4 linked regions of the Sus scrofa genome follow. Each later gene encodes a partner of the first gene's protein in a complex. Links are inferred from orthologs where the notes say so. Each region holds a gene or a part of one and is shown on either strand. Other genes may lie near its edges. The genes, in order: OBSL1, CUL7, MYOM1 and CCDC8.

Region 1 (3,561 bases):
CCAAGTTCAGAACCAGGGACGAGAAAGAAGGGAGCAGAGCCGGTTGACTTGTGAGGAAAAGGGGCTTAAGAGAGTTAAGAGAGGGGACACAGGAAGGGGGTGATGTGTGGTTTGGGGGGGTGAGAGGTTTGGGGGGGTCTGTGATACTGGAAGGAGAACAGAATTGGAGGCAGACACATCAGGACTGGACCCTAGCTCTGCCACATGTTTGTGTGCTATGTGATCTTTGGCAAACTGCTTGGCCTCTCTGGGCCTTAGTTTCTCCAGCTGCACAATGTTAATAGCATTGAGATATGGGGTTTATTGTGATTAAATGAGTGAAATACATTCAGAGAATACAAGTCACCCCCAAAAACCATTTATGAAGCTCTGGGTGAGTGTTTCTCATATTATCACAGTTAATGTTCCCAAAGCCTCTTGAAGTAAGGATCAGCATGGTTTTCAAGACCTGTCTCAGAGAGGGTAAGTAATTTGCCTGAGGTCACACAGTTAATAGAGTGTGCTCTGTCTTGGGGGTAGGGGTGCCCTTTGCCAACCATCCCTGCTTCCCAGTTGGGCCCGTGCGTCCTCGGGCAGACAACTGAGGGATAAACACGGCAAGTCTTTCTGGAGTATAATATTTATGTTTATAGCAAAGCCAACTTGGACATATGAAATGGAATGCAAAATTCACATGCACTTCTAAAGCAAACAGAAAACATTAGAAAAAGAAAAGTTTTGCTTTGGGCACGATGCTTCAGGTCACACTCCTGGGGGTCAGCCAGGGCTAACTTGCCTTGCAGTGAGGGGCACTTGGGTGGGGGTCTGAGGGGCTCTGGGCCAGCCAGGAGAGGCTGTGCCATGGGGCAGGTGTGTGTTAGGAGAGGACGGGGCACTCACGCCTGACGCTGAGCCTGGCCAGGGTGCGATCGTGGTGGCTCTCGCAGCCATAGGTGCCCTGGTCAGCTGGTACAACGCCGTGGATGAGGAGGCGGTGGACATGGCCATCCTGCGTTGTGGCCAGGCGGGAGTCGGGGGGGAGGGGCACCCCCCCTCGCACCCAGCGCACGGCCCCTGCTGCACCCACTCGGCCAGTCTCCACTTGGAGGCACACGTCCTGGCCTTCCTCCGCCCGCACATCCTGCAGGCGCCGCAGGAACAGCAGCTCCGTTTCTGGGGAGGAAGGAAGAGGGGGCCATAGAACTTAGGGGAGCCTGGAAGCTGACCCCCTCCCTGCTCCCTCTTAGGGATCTGTCCCCCTGCTAGGGCTGGGGCTGGGAGAATAGGTTCAGAAACAAGACGATTTTGTCTCCATCAGGACCAAACCTCGAACATGGAGCCGGGCACTTGTGGCTGTGCCCCCTGCTCGGGCAGTCACGGTCCCTGCGTCCTCAAGCTGGCAGCCTCGCAGGGTCAAGGTGCGGCTTGACCCATTCTGGGCCATCTCTAGCTGGGGCCCTGGGGTGACAACAGCCCCATTGCGCAGCCAGGTGACATCGGCATCTGGTGGGGAGACTTCACACCGGAATGTGGCATCATCACCCTCGTGGACAGTTAGGGGTGTCAGCTCTGAGACCAGCTTCACTGGCGGTGGTTCTGAGGGGGCAGGGCCAGATGGTGAGGCGGGCTGGGTCTTCCCCCCTCCCTCCTTCTCATCCCCACCTCCGGATACAGGCCTGCATCCTCCAATTATTAAACAAAACTTTCCTGAGGACCTGCTGTGTGTCAGCCATGAGATGTCCCAAAAGACAAGATGTCAACTCCCTGCCACTCCTAGCCAGCTCCTTTCAATGCTGGCCTGGCACCCACCTCTCTGACCCCCTAATAATAATGGATGGTTTACCATGGTCCCAATTTATCTCATTTAACTGTCACGACAGCCCTATAGGACAAGCACTCTCTCCCCACTTTGGAGCTGGGGCTCAGACAGGTTAAGCAACTCGCCAGTGTCACACAGCTACTGGGAAGCAGAATCCAGATTGGAACCTGGGAGCTCTGACTCCAGAGCCCTGCTTTGAACCACTGGGCTGGGCTGCCTCCTATTTGCAGGTACCTGGGAAAGGGAGCCCTGAGCTCTCACCCAAAGCTATGCATGCATGTGGAGCCAGAGGTAGAGAGGTGGGGTAGGGGGTGAGGGGACCCAGAAGGGTACAGGCTTGCGGTCCTTTGGGGGCCAGGGCCCAAAGGGTGTGTTACCTTCCACACTGACGAGGAAGATGCGGCTGTCCTGGGGCGTGTCGCACAGGTACTCCCCAGCGTCCCTGCTCCGTGCCCCCCGCACCCGCAGCACCTGCCTGGCCCCGTCCTGTTCCAGCTGCACCCGCCCCTGGCTCGCCAGGCGCTCCCCGTCCTTGTACCAGCGCACAGGGCCCCCCGGCCCGGAGAGGTGCACTGCCAGCTCTAGGTCCCCGCCTGGGGTGCTGCGAACCCTGGTCTGGGCCGCCTCGGGGGCCACCACCCGCACAGGGGGCTCTGTGGGGTCAGAGCTGGGGGTCACAGTGAGGAAGCGATTCAAGGGCTGGGGGCGGGCAGTGGGAAGCAAAATGGGGAAAGGGACTGAGAGTAGTGGGGCAAGGAGGGCAAGGTGCGCTGGAGAAGGGGAGACTCATGGGTTTGGGGGTGCAATTCTCAGGTTTCCTGCCCAGGCTATACTCACCAGCCACTTGGACAGTGAAGCTGAGGCTGGGAGCCCCCGGGGCTGCCCCGGACTGGCAGGTGTAGAGGCCCGCATGGGCCGGGTCTGCAGCCCGGATGCAGAGGATGCGGCGGGGGCCCTCAGCATGGAGCTCCAGGCCCTCGCCCTCCTGAACTGGCCTCCCGTTGTGGCTCCAAAAGACAAGGGCGCCAGCCCTGGACAGTTCACAGCTCAGCACCACCGGATCCCCGGGGGCCACACAGAGCGGGCTGGGGGCTGCCTCTGGGGCAAGGAACTGGACAGGGGGCTCTGGACAGAGAGAGGCGGTGGTGTTGACTCGGTAACGCCCCGCCTCCCCCCTCCCCTGGGCTGGCCAGGAGCGCCCACCAGCCAGGCTGACATTGAAGGTGACAGCTTCATCATGAGTCTCACACACATACTCCCCGGCGTCCTCAGGCTCGGCATGGGGCAGGGTCAGGGTGCGAATGGGCCCCTCAGCACCCAGCTGCAGGACGTCTGATGCTTCCACCTCCAGCCCATCCTTGTACCAGCGCACCTGGGATCCAGCTGGGGCCACCTCGCAGCGAAGCTCCACACGCCCTGGAGCCCCGAACTGCAGGTCCAGGGCGCGAGCTGCTGGATGCACAATCCTCTCTGGGGGGGCTGGGGGGTGGACCGAGACGGGTGAGTGGGCTCCACCTGCCTCACCACTAGGTTCTCAGCCCTCTCCCTTTGCAGTGCAGCTCTTGGGAACAGAAGGACCTTCAATCCATGGGCACTTAACTGTGGGCCGGGCCTTGTGCTAAGCACACTGCAGCCCTTTTCTCAGCTACCCCTGACACTCCCTCTCACTGGCACTTATTTATTTATTTATTCGTTCATTTATTCATTTATTGCTGGCCTTTAGGGCCGCACCTATGGCATACAGAAGTTCCCAGGCTAGGGGG
Region 2 (3,561 bases), on another chromosome or scaffold:
GCAGAGGCCCCAGTGCCCTAAGTACAGACCTCCTGGGGCGTCCTTTGGCTCATGAAGTTCCAGGGGGCCCCTTGAAGAGGCAAGAGGTCTAATTGCCCAATTCAGCACATCTGGAGAGAGCCCGGACAGCGCCAGCAGACGCTCCACGGAGACGGCCTTAGAAAGAGGAGGGAAGGTTCCCATTGTGGTGCAGCGGAAACAAATCCAACTAGTATCCATGAGGATGTGGGTTTGATCCCTGGCCTTGCTTAGTGGGTCTGGGATCCGGCATTGCCAAGAGCTGTGGTGTAGGTTGCAGATCCAGCTCGGCGCCGCTGTGGCTGTGGTGTAGGCCAGCAGCTGCAGCTCCGATTCAACCCCTAGCCTGAGAACTTTCATATGCTGCAGGTGTGGCCCTGAAAAGAAAAAAAAGAGGAGGGAAGCATGAGGGCTTCCCCAGGGGGTGGAACAAGGAGGGGGAAGGGAAGAAAGGGGAGGGCCAGGCGAGAGAGCAGGGAGGCGCGAGGGCTGGGCCACCTGCAGCTCGTTGAGATGCAGCAGCAGCCACATCTGCACGGTGGTCACTTGCAGCGTCTGGTCCCCAAACTGCAGCACAGCCCGGCCCAGCCATGTCCACTGCAGTCGCCGATGTGGGCCCCGCTCTAGAGCAGGGTAGCTGTGACCTGAGGAGCATCAGGGAGGAGGAGGGGTCAAGGGCTGGGGAGGACATGCTATAGGTGGAGTTTTGTCCCCTCTGCAGAGCCTGGGGCCCAGCATTTGTGGACACTGGTTCCTGGCCCGAGCTTTCACAGCTCAGCTTTCTGTGTGTCTGCCTCCGAGGAGGCCTGAGTATCTGGGAGCCCACCCTGTGCCAGGCGAGCTGTGATCAGGGCCTCCAAGGAGTTCCCCACTGTTTTAAGGGAGGAAAAAACATAATGAGGAAGGACTGGGGCTTTCATCAAACTGGAAACAATGTCTCCCCTACAAGTGTAGGAGCTCCTTGAGGGCAGGGTCTAAGTGTCCCCCTCCTTTGTCACTGCCCAGCCCAGGATCAGCCTCTAGTGGGAAACGTAGGTTACAGTGACTAACCAGGAGTCAGACACCTACATGGAGGGAAAGCCCTTCCTGGTGGCCTCAGGTGCCTCTCGCCTCCATCCTCCCCACCACCCATGAGAGTCCTGGGTCTCATTTTAAGGACAGAAAGGGCAACAGCCTGGGATCAGGTGCCCATAGTCCCACCCTCCCCTCAAACCCAAGCTGCTGCCCCTTCTTCTCAAACCCACCCCATCAAGGCTGCCAGCCCCAGGGGTTGCCCCCAAGCCCAGGTTCTTATCCCATCCTCTTTCCAGCCCCCAGTTCCCTCAGCCCCGCTGCTCACTCTTGATGTAGAAGTTGGAGTATCGGTTCAAGGTGTCCCTCAGGTAGGCGGGCAAGCAGGTTCTGGGGTTGAGCGGGTGGCAGATGGAGCCAGTGGGTGAGCCGTTCAGCACGAGCACAGACATTTCCGGCATCGCCCCTTCATAGTAGAGGTCCTCGTTGTCGTCCTCGTCCTCGTTGTCATCCTCCTCCTTCTCGGCCTCTTCGGCTATCGCCGCTACTGCCTCTGCCACCACCCCAACCTCCAGCTCAGCTTCCTCTCCATTCCCTCTTGTGTGCCCCCTGCCACTGGCTTCACAGCCCACCTGAGGGTGGAACACACGGCACCCAAAGCCAGTGGGCTCCTTGGGTCCAGCTTGTGCCTCTGTCTCTGCCTCCCACCCACCCACTTGCTAATTCCCCTCCCCTGCACCCACCTGGATCTTCCTCTCTGTGCCCTCCAGCTTCAGGAGTTGCTGATCAAGCCGCTGAAGCTGGTACACGTGGAACTGGCGCTGCCGCTCCTCCGAGGTGCTCAGGCTCCGAAAAATCTGCTGGGGGAGGCGGTTGGGGAAGCAGGGGCCGATCTGATCCAGTGCAACCTCCTCCAGCCAGCTCGAGAAGCCCACGGCAAAGACACGGTCCACCATGTAGTGCCTGCAGGGCGCAGAGCCCAGGCCGAGCCTCAGTGTAGGGGCTTGGCATGGGGCGGCCTCCGGCTCAGGGACCCCAGAGCTGGCCCTGCCTGTCATCCTGCCTCCCCCCACTGCCCACTATCTCGGTCCACACTCACTGGTAGTAATGCTCGAAAGTGGTGGCGATCTCCAAACCAGAGAAGATCAGAACGCTTTCCAGGCATTGCTGTAGCTGGGCCAGCATCCCCTGGGGCCCACCATTCCGGCTGCCACGGATACACTGGTCAATGTGCCGGGCAAACTGCTCACTCACCTGGGCAGCAGGAAGAGAACAGGAAAACTATGAAGAGAGCGGAGGAGGTGAGTGGGAGAAGCAGAGGGCCTGAGGAGGGAGTTACACATGGCCAGCAGCTTCATCAATGGGTCAAGGGTTTTGTTTTGTTTTGTTTAATTTTTTGTCTTCTTAGGGCTGCACCTTCAGCATGTGGAGGTTCCCAGGCTAGAAGTCGAATCGGAGCTGAAGCTGCCAGCCTACGCCACAGCCACAGCCACGGCAACTCGGGATCTGAACTGCATCTGCCACCTACACCTCAGCTCACAGCAACGCCAGATCCTTAACCCACTGAGCAAGGCCAGGGATCGAACCTTCGTCCTAATGGGTGCTAGTCCAGGTTCACTCTCGGCTGAGCCACGACGGGAATTCCTGCTCAACGATTTTCTAAAACTGAAATCATTAACAGCTGTGCGCATTGACAATGAGAACAATACTGAAAAATGTTTTCTCACATTCAGCACATCCAAAGTTTAACTGAGCATGAAGAGACAGAAGCACACCTCGGAGATTTTGCTCGTTTGGCTCCAGGCTCACAATAAAGTCACACATGTTTTCTGGTTTCTGAGTGCATATAAAAGTATGCTTACATTTTCTGGTAGTCTATTAAGTATACATAGCATTATGTCTAAAAAACAATGTACATACCTTAACTAAACAATACATTATTGCTGGAATTCCCGTTGTGGCTCAGTGGTTAATGAATCTGACTAGGAACCATGAGGTTGCGGGTTTGATCCCTGGCCTTGCTCAATGGGGTAAGGATCCGGCGTTGCCGTGAGCTGTGGTGTAGGTCGCAAACCCGGCTCGGCTCGGATCCCGAGTTGCTGTGGCTCTGGTGTAGGCTGGCAGCTACTGATTAGACCCCTAGCCTGGGAACCTCCATAGACCGCAGGAGCGGCTCTAGAAATGGCAAAAAGAAAAAAAAAAATACATTATTGCTAAAAAAAGTGCTGACCATCACCTAACAATGCAGGATTGCCACAAACCTTCAATAGGTTAAGGAGTTCCTGTTGTGGCTCAGCGGAAACAACCTGACTAGTATCCATGAGGATGCAGGTTCAATCCCTGGCCGCGCTCAGTGGGTTATAGATCCGGCATGAGCTGTGGTGTAGATCGCAGACAGGGCTCAAATCCCAAGAGGCTCAACCTCTGGCCCGGGACTTCCATATGTGACAGGTGTGACCCTAAAAAGCAAAAAAAAAAAAAAAAAAAAAAAAAAAAGTTAAAAAATACATTATCTACGAAGCAGAGTAAAAA
Region 3 (4,171 bases), on another chromosome or scaffold:
CCATATTGCACTTGAAAGACCATTTGAAAGCATCTAGTTTCTTACAGACAAAATATCATCGGAGGGAGGATAAGGCAACACATGACAAAAAGAGCATGGGCTTTGGAATCCACATATCTCTGAATGAACTGCATTTATGTCGTTTACTAGCTGTGTGCTCTTTGGTAAATGACTTTACCTCTCGAAGCCTCAGTTTCCTCAACTGTAGCCTGAAGCTAATGCTACTTGCCTTACAGGGCATTATGACCATTAAATGGGATCACACAAAGTGCCTACCATAGTGTCTGGCACTTGATAGGTCCTCAACAGTGTTAACTGTCATTGTCATCAAGAAAGGGATTAGAAAGTAGGTCCTAATAGTGGGTCTGTTCAGTATTTGGATAAATACAGGTGATCTGTATTTAGGTGCTCTAGTATCAGAACATAACCTGCTCAGTACCTATAATCTGAACTTTTAAATTACTACTATCAGAACAACAGTTGACATTTACTGGGTCTTCATTATGTGGCAGTCGATAGGTGAGTGCTTTCTCTGTGTTATCACGTTGATTTCCACAGCAGTCCCATAATTTGGACGTTATTATCCCCATTTTATAGAGAAGGAAAATGAAGCTTAAAGAAAAATAAATTGCTTAAAGTTACATGGCTATTAAGTGCCATCAACGGTCTGGAATTGAGGTCTGGTCTGAGTCTGAAGTGCAAGCTCTAACCACCAGGTTTTACCACCTCTGAATTTGTGAAATAGTTGGAAAAAACAAAGAAAGAGAAGTGATGTTAGATAGACTGACCCTACTCTGGCTTTAGGAAAGATAAAACATGTTGCTTCCTAAAGGCTTTAATGACTGGGGAATCAAATACTCAAACTTGAAGCTATGACCTACTTTGTAAAATTTTCCTGAAATGAGAGAACTGGTGACCCCCGAATCTTCGATCCAAAATTTCTACCGCCTGTAACCCATTTCTTACTTGTTTGCCTCTAGTTAGCCTCATGTTCTTTTTTCACCTTGTGTCTTTTAAATGTACATGCATTATGAACAGCACATCCAGAACGATTATCTTGGCATTTACATTCCATGAAGTCCATTTTGGGAATCAGATTACTACATCTATTTTTAGCTCTCAACACAAACCACTCTTTCCATTACACTTTCAGATAACCAGTAATAAAATGATATTGAAAATAGCCCTTATACCCAAATAAATATCTCACATTTGGTTTAATCAAGCCAGACCCATTGACTGGCATTAATGTAATTACATTACCCAGGCAGCTACCTGCCAGTGCCTCCCTCTGCCTCTCAGTTTAGGACTACCCTTCCCATTTGCTGCTATATTTATCTGCCTTCTTGGCCATAAAAGGCTGGCTGTGTGGCTCTGACATTCTACTGCCTGACCACATGCATTATTTTTGAACTGGCCCCCAGGGTCCTGTCTTTAGCCCTGCTCTTAACTTTTTCTTGGATTCAGCCTCCGTGGGTTATTCATTCTCTCATCCAGCTCCACGGTCACGTCGGAATATTTCCACCACTGCCACTCCTCTGCAAACTGGTAAGTGTGACCTTGGGGCAGAAGAATGCACTTGATATTTCATGTGCTTAGCAGCACCACGGTGTGTGTGGTTTCTATCTTCTGAGCTCAGCAGTTTTGTCAAAGAGATGTCAGAAGTGCAGGGAAATAGGAAAGTGGGGCTCCTGGGAAGGAAAACGAGCAGCAGGGTGCCGGTTTGTGCTGGCACAGCTCTTCTCTCAGCTCAGCGGCTTCTTCTAAAATTAAGCTGCTGTTCCTGGAACCATAAGGAGATAATAGCTGTCTCAGATGGAACTGTAAGTGTGAGTCAAGTGCTTCTTCCAAATTACAGTTCAGTGGTTTGGTTGAAATCTGGGATGAGTGAGGTAACAGGAAATCATGTGTTTTCTATCCTCCATACGCCTACAATGCTCCTTGATTACAAATTAGATCAAAAGGAGTAAATGAACTCTGAAGTCACTAGTTTCTAATTTGCTCCAACAATGCCATGTGGATAAATGTAAGAGTGCACTGTGGTATTTCTCCTATGAAAACGGCTAAGCAGTATTTCACAGGCAACATAAATTCCCCACAAAATGGTCCCAAAGTTAATATTTACTGTGAAGAGTTTTTATCAGCTTTCAGCCTCTAATGCCTGTACAAAATATCATTCATGTCACAATTCCAACCATGGAGTTAGTATTTCTTCCCAAATTCCCAAATTATTTTCAGGAAGAAAAAAGGTCTTAAAGAAATAGGAGACAACCAAACCACCTTTCCTCCCAACACACTCTAGCTGTCATGTGTCGGGGATAATCCTCATGTACTTGATGAAGAGAAGGTAGTTGTACCTTCGTTCCAGAGGTCAGAGCTGTGACAACCAGCTCTGTTGATGTAAAGCCAAAGCCTGTTTACTTGTAATACATCATCTACGTGCCTAGAAAATTAAGTATTATTCAATATGTTCGGGGAAAACAGAAATAAAGAGAATGGAAAACAGAGTTGAGGCAAGACAGTTAAATATTTTATTTTGTGAAAATAATAGCATTTCAAGTTATTTTGGGTTCTGAATTTAGCTTATAATAATACATAGAAAGGTCATGCAATATTTATTTGGATATCATTCAAATAGCATTTGCCATGTTGCAGGGTAGTATGTATCACTATAGAAACATCTAATAGCTTTATAATTGCTTAGTATCATAGACGACTATATTTGTATATTCAACTCTTGTTTTATCAAAATTTATCTAGTGATTATTCCTTATATCTGAGAATTGTTCTGTACATTTTAGAACAGAAAATAGCAAAGCGTTTGCTATTTAAGGGTTGAAGCAATGTTGCTTGCTAGTAGCTATTTTTTTCCTCTTGGGAAATGCCATGTAGACTGATATCTTCCATGAGCCCTAACATAAATATTTCTGGAGTGAAGTTTGCTGGATTTGCTTCTCTAGGGAATACATGCTGACCTTTTAGTTTAAATAAAAAGTAGATTTAAACTTGACAAAAAGTGTGGCAAGTTTAGAAGAATTCAATCCTCCTTTATATATATATATATATATTTTAGGGCCGCACCCACGGCATGTGGAAGTTCCCATGCTAGGGTTTGAACTGGAGCTAGAGCTGCTGGCCTGTGCCACAGCCACAGCAATGCAGGATCCGAGCCGCATCCGCGACTTACACCACAGCTCACGGCAATGCTGGATCCTTAATCCACTGAACAAGGCCAGGAATCAAACCCACAACCTCATAGTTACTAGTCAGATTCATTTCTGCTGCATCACAACAGGAACTCCCTAGAATTTTTTTTTTAAAGATTTGAAAAAGTGATTACAACTAATTTTACTTGTAAAATTTAAAATCAGTGTTTTAGAGCATGCACAAAAGCATTAAAAATGGAAGAAAAGACTTCCATAAAACTATTTCATCATCCAGGGGTTGTCAGTGTGGCTGATAGGCTCCTCTCAGTGGACATATTATTCAAAGAAAGATAATGCAATATGAAGTTTCCCCTCCCTCTGCTAAGAAAACTTTGACTTTCAGTAGGACTTTTAGCTCAAGTTCACAGTGCAAACTGCTACCCTGATGACTGATTTTCTGGCTTCTTTATGTAGGAAGACTAGAAACCTTCATCTTCTTAATGGAATTCATATGATTTGACACTATACCTTTTTGAAATGTTTGTAAGATTTGAGAGAGCTTATTAAATGCCAATATAAGCAGCCTCCTAGGGTTCAGTCCTAGGACTTTCATTCTCATCTACTTTGTGGCTTTGAAATTTATGTATATGCTGTGAGTTTCAAATGTAGGTCTCCATCCTGGACCTTTGCCCAGTATTCCAAAGTCAAATAGCTAGCTTCCCACTTCATGTCTCCACTAGGATATCCAGCAGATATCTCAAATGTAGACTGTCTCAAACCAGACTCCTGTTCTTCCATCCTGAACTGCTGTTTTCTTGTACTCTTGCTCATCTCAGTTAATAGCAACTCTAGGGAGTTCCCTTATGGCTCAGCAGGTTAAGTACCTAGCATTATCACTGCTGTGGCTCGGGTCACTGCTGTGGCACAGGTTTGATCCCTGGCCTTGGAACTTCTACATGCCACAGGTGTGGCCAAAAAGAAAAAAAAATAGCAACTCTAGTCCTCTAATCACTTAGGCAAAATCC
Region 4 (4,195 bases), on another chromosome or scaffold:
TAACATTTGCATACATTAAAATTGGTCTCCTTTGTAATCCAATAATACAATACCATGCATTGCAAAACTATCCTGAAAAGGGTCCTTGACATGGAAAAGGTTAAGAATTCCTAAGCTAAAGGGTCCTCAAGAGGGTAGAGACTGCTCAGTAATTTGGGGAGGGTGCAGTATGACCTCTGAAGTGATAACCTTTTGCAACACCCTAGCGCCTAGTGCTTAAGGATCCAGTATTGTCACTGCTGTGGCATGGGCTAGATCCCTAGCCTGAGACCTTCTGCACGGCCAACAACAAAAAAAGATGACATTTGAGCAGAGGGAGATTGCCAAGAGAAGGTAGGGGCAGAACTTTCTGGGTGTTGGGACCAGTGATGCAAAGGACCTGAAGGTGGAGGTAAGCCCGATTTATTGGATGACCAATGAGGAGGCAGGTGTGGCTGGAGTGGAGTGAGGAAGAGAGAAAGAGAGCGGGAAGTGGGACTTTGTGGGTGATGGCGAGGACTTTAAAATTAGAGGAGAGGAGTTCCCGTCGTGGCGCAGTGGTTAACGAATCCGGCTAGGAACCATGAGGTTGCGGGTTCGATCCCTGCCCTTGCTCAGTGGGTCGGGGTTCCGGCGTTGCCGTGAGCTGTGGTGTAGGTTGCAGACGCGGCTCGGATCCCGAGTTGCTGTGGCTCTGGCGTAGGCTGGCAGCTACAGCTCCGATTCGACCCCTAGCCGGGGAACTTCCATATGCCGCAGGAGCGGCACAAGAAATAGCAAAAAGACAAAAAAAAAAAAAAAAAAAAAAAAAAAATTAGAGGAGAGACAGATCTGGCTTAAGTTGCTAGGTTGGGGGTGGATTGATTATAGGCAGTGAGAAGGAAGCAGGGAGCCCCACGAGGAGGGATTTGTATGGATCCAGGCAAGCATTGAGGGCAGCTGGACATGCGATGGCTTTTAAGGGGTCAAACAGCCTAGCACTCTCAGGAGGACGCAGATCAGCTGTATCTTCAGAGCCTGGAGTTAGTTCTAACGTCTGGGATCTGGTTCAAATATCTGGCTCTCCACTTCGAACTGTGCAATCGGGGACCAGCCTCAGTGTCCCCAGCTGTAAGGAGATGATAGTGAAGGCATTCACCTTTCGGTGTAGCTCTGCAGATTCATAACAGGCCCACTCAGGATGCCTGGTTTCAAAGAAAGCATCCATGCAGGTTAACCGTTATTATTACTAAGGCAGTTGTTGCTGTGCATGTGGTTGCCTCACAGTTACCCAAGAAGCTTTGCGAATCCTGACCCTTTAATTTAACTTATTTCAATTAACATTTTTGAGGTATCTGAGGTCCTTCAATTTAATTTAACTTATTTCAGTTAACATTTTTGATTGTTAAAAATTGAAGCACTCCAAAATGATAGAGTGAAAAGTCATGTGAAAAGTGAAAAGCCACCTCCGGGGTCCCCAGATATAGCCACTGTTGGCAGTGCTTCTACACATGACAAATGTATGTATACACCTAGGCCCTTTGGTCTACACACACATTAGACTGTTTCAGAATCAAATCCAGGTTCAGTCTTCTTCCTGGCCATGTGACCTTGAGCAAGAGATTGATTTTATTTCCTCAGCTGTACAATGGGAATGAGCATCGTATTATCTGTATCCTGATGTTTTTGTGTGAATTTTATGAGTTAATTTATAAAAAGCACTTAGCATGGTCCTTCGTACGTAGGAAGTGCTCCCTAAAATGTGTTTATTCTCAGTCACTTCTCTTTTTCATAACGGCCTAGTATTTCACCGTTAGTCCCTACCGGTGAACAATTAGGTGCATTCATTCACTCAAAAATATTTCTTGAGCACCTACTCTGTGCCAAGCCCCATGATGAGCTGCAATAAGACCTTGATACCAGGTTCTTCACCCACATGTCTGGGTATATGGCTAGGAACTGCCGGTACCCAAAGTCACTTAATTTTAAGATGGTACTATACTGTCAGTGGCTTTCCAAGGGATTGCCCGATGATGAGCGCGCCCACCTTCAGGGCTGGGCTGGAACCCGCACTTTTGGGACGGTAGTTTCGGGAACTGCTGCCTTTCTCAGAGAAAGCTGCTGACGTGGGCGTCGGCACCGCAGGCCTTTGGCTTGGAAGCCGGGGCCCCTGAGAGGCCCGGGGCGCAGCCACACCCCTGGGGGGGAGGGCGGCGAGGGCGCCCCAAGGGGAGTGGACAGCCCCCCTGTCAGTCTTCCCCGAGTCCGGGAGTGTAAGCCGAGCAGGGAGAAGGTGGGCCTCATCCAGGGGGAAGGCGAGGAGGAACTTCCTGCCCGCGCGCGCACTCGCCGGCCCTGGGCGCGCAGGCTGGGGGCGGAGGCGCGTCAAGGTCAGCCTGGACCGAGGTGGCAGCCTGCCTAGGGGCGGGAGACCCTCCTGGGGAGCTGGCTGCGGCCTCCAAGAGCCTCGGCCATATTGAACAGCCACAGCTGAGCCGTCTTTGTCTGCAAAGTCCTTTCCCAAGTTCCAGGGACGTCCCCTGTGCCTGGCACAGGAAGAGCCACCAGCAGTCCTTACACTGAGTTGGAGCCGGGACACCCATTTACAGCTTGCGGCGGGCTTGGAACCTTGAGACTCCGACTCACGTAAGCACCCTGAATCGATTCCCACCAGTCCTTGAGGGGAGCGAACTGGATCACGACCCGACTTGTTGCGGGCAGAGAAACTGGGAGGTGAGATTCCCGGCCGCGCTCTTGGGACCGCATCCCCACCCCAAGACTCGGCGCTGCGAGTAGTTTGGGCTCCTTGCCCGCACTTTAGATTTCACCCTGGAGATCTTAAAGACCCTCGAGAAAAGCCACGTGGGGGGCTGGTTCCCCTGGGGCTTCCTCCCTTCCCCTGATTGCCTGATCCTCTGGAGCGTCCCCGACATCTGCAAAGATGTGGATTTGGACGTCCTCGTGGAAGCCTTGAAGCCGGTGGGGACATTCAAGAAGATCGGCAAGGTGTTCCGCCGCGAGGAGGACTCCACGGTGGGGATGCTGCAGATCGGCGAGGACGTAGACTATTTGCTCATCCCCCGCGAGGTCAGGCTGGCGGGAGGCGTCTGGAGGGTTATCTCCAAGCCCGCCACCAAGGAGGCGGAATTTCGGGAGCGGCTGATCCAGTTTCTGGAGGAAGAAGGCCGCACCCTGGAGGATGTGGCCCGCATCATCGAGAAGAGCACCCCCCACCCGCCCCAGCCCCCTAAAAAGCCCAAGGAGCCCGGATCGAGGAGGAGAGTCCCGCAGATGGTGACGCCACCTCCTCGGCTGGTCGTGGGTACTTATGACAGCAGCAATGCCAGTGACAGCGAGTTCAGCGACTTTGAAACCTCCAGAGACAAGGATGACAAGGACCACAAAGGCACGGGGCGTGGAAGGAGGCTGCGCAAAATGCCTGTCAGTTACCTGGGCAGCAAATTCCTTGGGAGCGACCTGGAGAGCGAGGATGACGAGGAACTGGTTGAGGCCTTCCTGCGGCGAGGAGAGAAGAAGCCCAGTGCCCCGCCGGCCCGCCGCCGTGTGACCCTGCCAGTGCCCATGTTTGAGGACAATCCGGGACCCCAGCTGTCCAAGGCTGATAGATGGCGGGAATATGTCAGCCAGGTGTCCTGGGGGAAGCTGAAGCGGAGGGTGAAGGGCTGGGCACCGAGGTCCAGCCCAGGGGTGGGTGAGGCCCGGCAGGCCTCTACCAGGGTGGAGAGGGATGGCGCATCGGTGCCAGGCAGCTCAAGCCTCGGGGAGGACAGGGGAAATGCAGGAGATGGGCGGGTGCCTGAGAATCCCCCAAGTCGGTGGAGACCCAAAATCAATTGGGCCTCCTTCCGTCGTCGCAGGAGGGAGGAAGCCCCAACTAGAGCTCAGAGAACAGAGGCTGCAGATGATCAGAGGGCAGAGGTAGTAGTGGTCCCGGGGGCAGAGGCCATAGCTCTCCAGGGGGCAGAAGCTGTGGATAATCAGAGGGCTGAGGCCCCTGCTGCTCAGGGGGCAGAGGACCCAACTGTCCAGAGAGTAGAGGCTGCAGATAATCAGAGGGCAGAGGCCCTAGCTGTCCAGGGGGCAGAGGCGCCAGCTGTCCAGAGGGCAGAGGCCATTCCTGACCAGAGGGCAGAAGCTGCATGTAGTCAGAGGGCAGAGGCCCTGGCTGTCCAGGAAGCTGAATCCTCAGCTGCTTGGAGAGCCACAGGGGCAACCC

What was found.
Region 2: OBSL1 (region 1) and CUL7 share a complex: the UniProt entries of both Homo sapiens proteins name them as parts of the 3M complex. The link is inferred for Sus scrofa from reciprocal best matches to the Homo sapiens genes OBSL1 and CUL7.
Region 3: the proteins of OBSL1 (region 1) and MYOM1 are in contact, whole or in part, in a crystal structure (PDB 5FM5), measured with the Homo sapiens proteins. The link is inferred for Sus scrofa from reciprocal best matches to the Homo sapiens genes OBSL1 and MYOM1. Residues at the interface, in NP_056126.1 of Homo sapiens: Pro243, Lys253, Phe255, Val257, Asn258, Gly260, Lys261, His262, Ala263, Lys264, Phe265, Arg266, Cys267, Tyr268, Val269, Met270, Gly271, Lys272, Pro273, Pro275, Trp279, Lys305, Tyr308, Tyr317, Cys319, Ala321, Arg322, Asn323, Ser324, Ala325; in NP_003794.3 of Homo sapiens: Arg616, Pro617, Ser618, Ala619, Pro620, Trp621, Thr622, Gly623, Gln624, Ile625, Ile626, Val627, Thr628, Glu629, Glu630, Glu631, Pro632.
Region 4: OBSL1 (region 1) and CCDC8 share a complex: the UniProt entries of both Homo sapiens proteins name them as parts of the 3M complex. The link is inferred for Sus scrofa from reciprocal best matches to the Homo sapiens genes OBSL1 and CCDC8.

What each region holds. Positions count from the first base shown.
Region 1 is NC_010457.5:121,564,260-121,567,820, forward strand, and holds part of OBSL1 (obscurin-like protein 1), read right to left. Parts: intron 3,278-3,561; coding exon 3,002-3,277; coding exon of another isoform or gene 2,924-3,001; coding exon 2,636-2,923; intron 2,452-2,635; coding exon 2,176-2,451; intron 1,576-2,175; coding exon 1,306-1,575; intron 1,153-1,305; coding exon 880-1,152; intron 1-879. UniProt on the Homo sapiens protein: Core component of the 3M complex, a complex required to regulate microtubule dynamics and genome integrity. It is unclear how the 3M complex regulates microtubules, it could act by controlling the level of a microtubule stabilizer.
Region 2 is NC_010449.5:38,098,714-38,102,274, forward strand, and holds part of CUL7 (cullin-7), read right to left. Parts: intron 2,865-3,561; exon of another isoform or gene 2,763-2,864; intron 2,331-2,762; exon of another isoform or gene 2,284-2,330; coding exon 2,129-2,283; intron 1,993-2,128; coding exon 1,773-1,992; intron 1,662-1,772; coding exon 1,358-1,661; intron 663-1,357; coding exon 30-662; intron 1-29. UniProt on the Homo sapiens protein: Core component of the 3M and Cul7-RING(FBXW8) complexes, which mediate the ubiquitination and subsequent proteasomal degradation of target proteins. Core component of the 3M complex, a complex required to regulate microtubule dynamics and genome integrity.
Region 3 is NC_010448.4:103,449,973-103,454,143, forward strand, and holds the start of MYOM1 (myomesin-1), read left to right. Parts: upstream 1-1,367; 5' UTR 1,368-1,548; intron 1,549-4,171. UniProt on the Homo sapiens protein: Major component of the vertebrate myofibrillar M band. Binds myosin, titin, and light meromyosin. This binding is dose dependent.
Region 4 is NC_010448.4:52,473,120-52,477,314, forward strand, and holds the start of CCDC8 (coiled-coil domain-containing protein 8), read left to right. Parts: upstream 1-1,388; 5' UTR 1,389-2,997; coding exon 2,998-4,195. UniProt on the Homo sapiens protein: Core component of the 3M complex, a complex required to regulate microtubule dynamics and genome integrity. It is unclear how the 3M complex regulates microtubules, it could act by controlling the level of a microtubule stabilizer.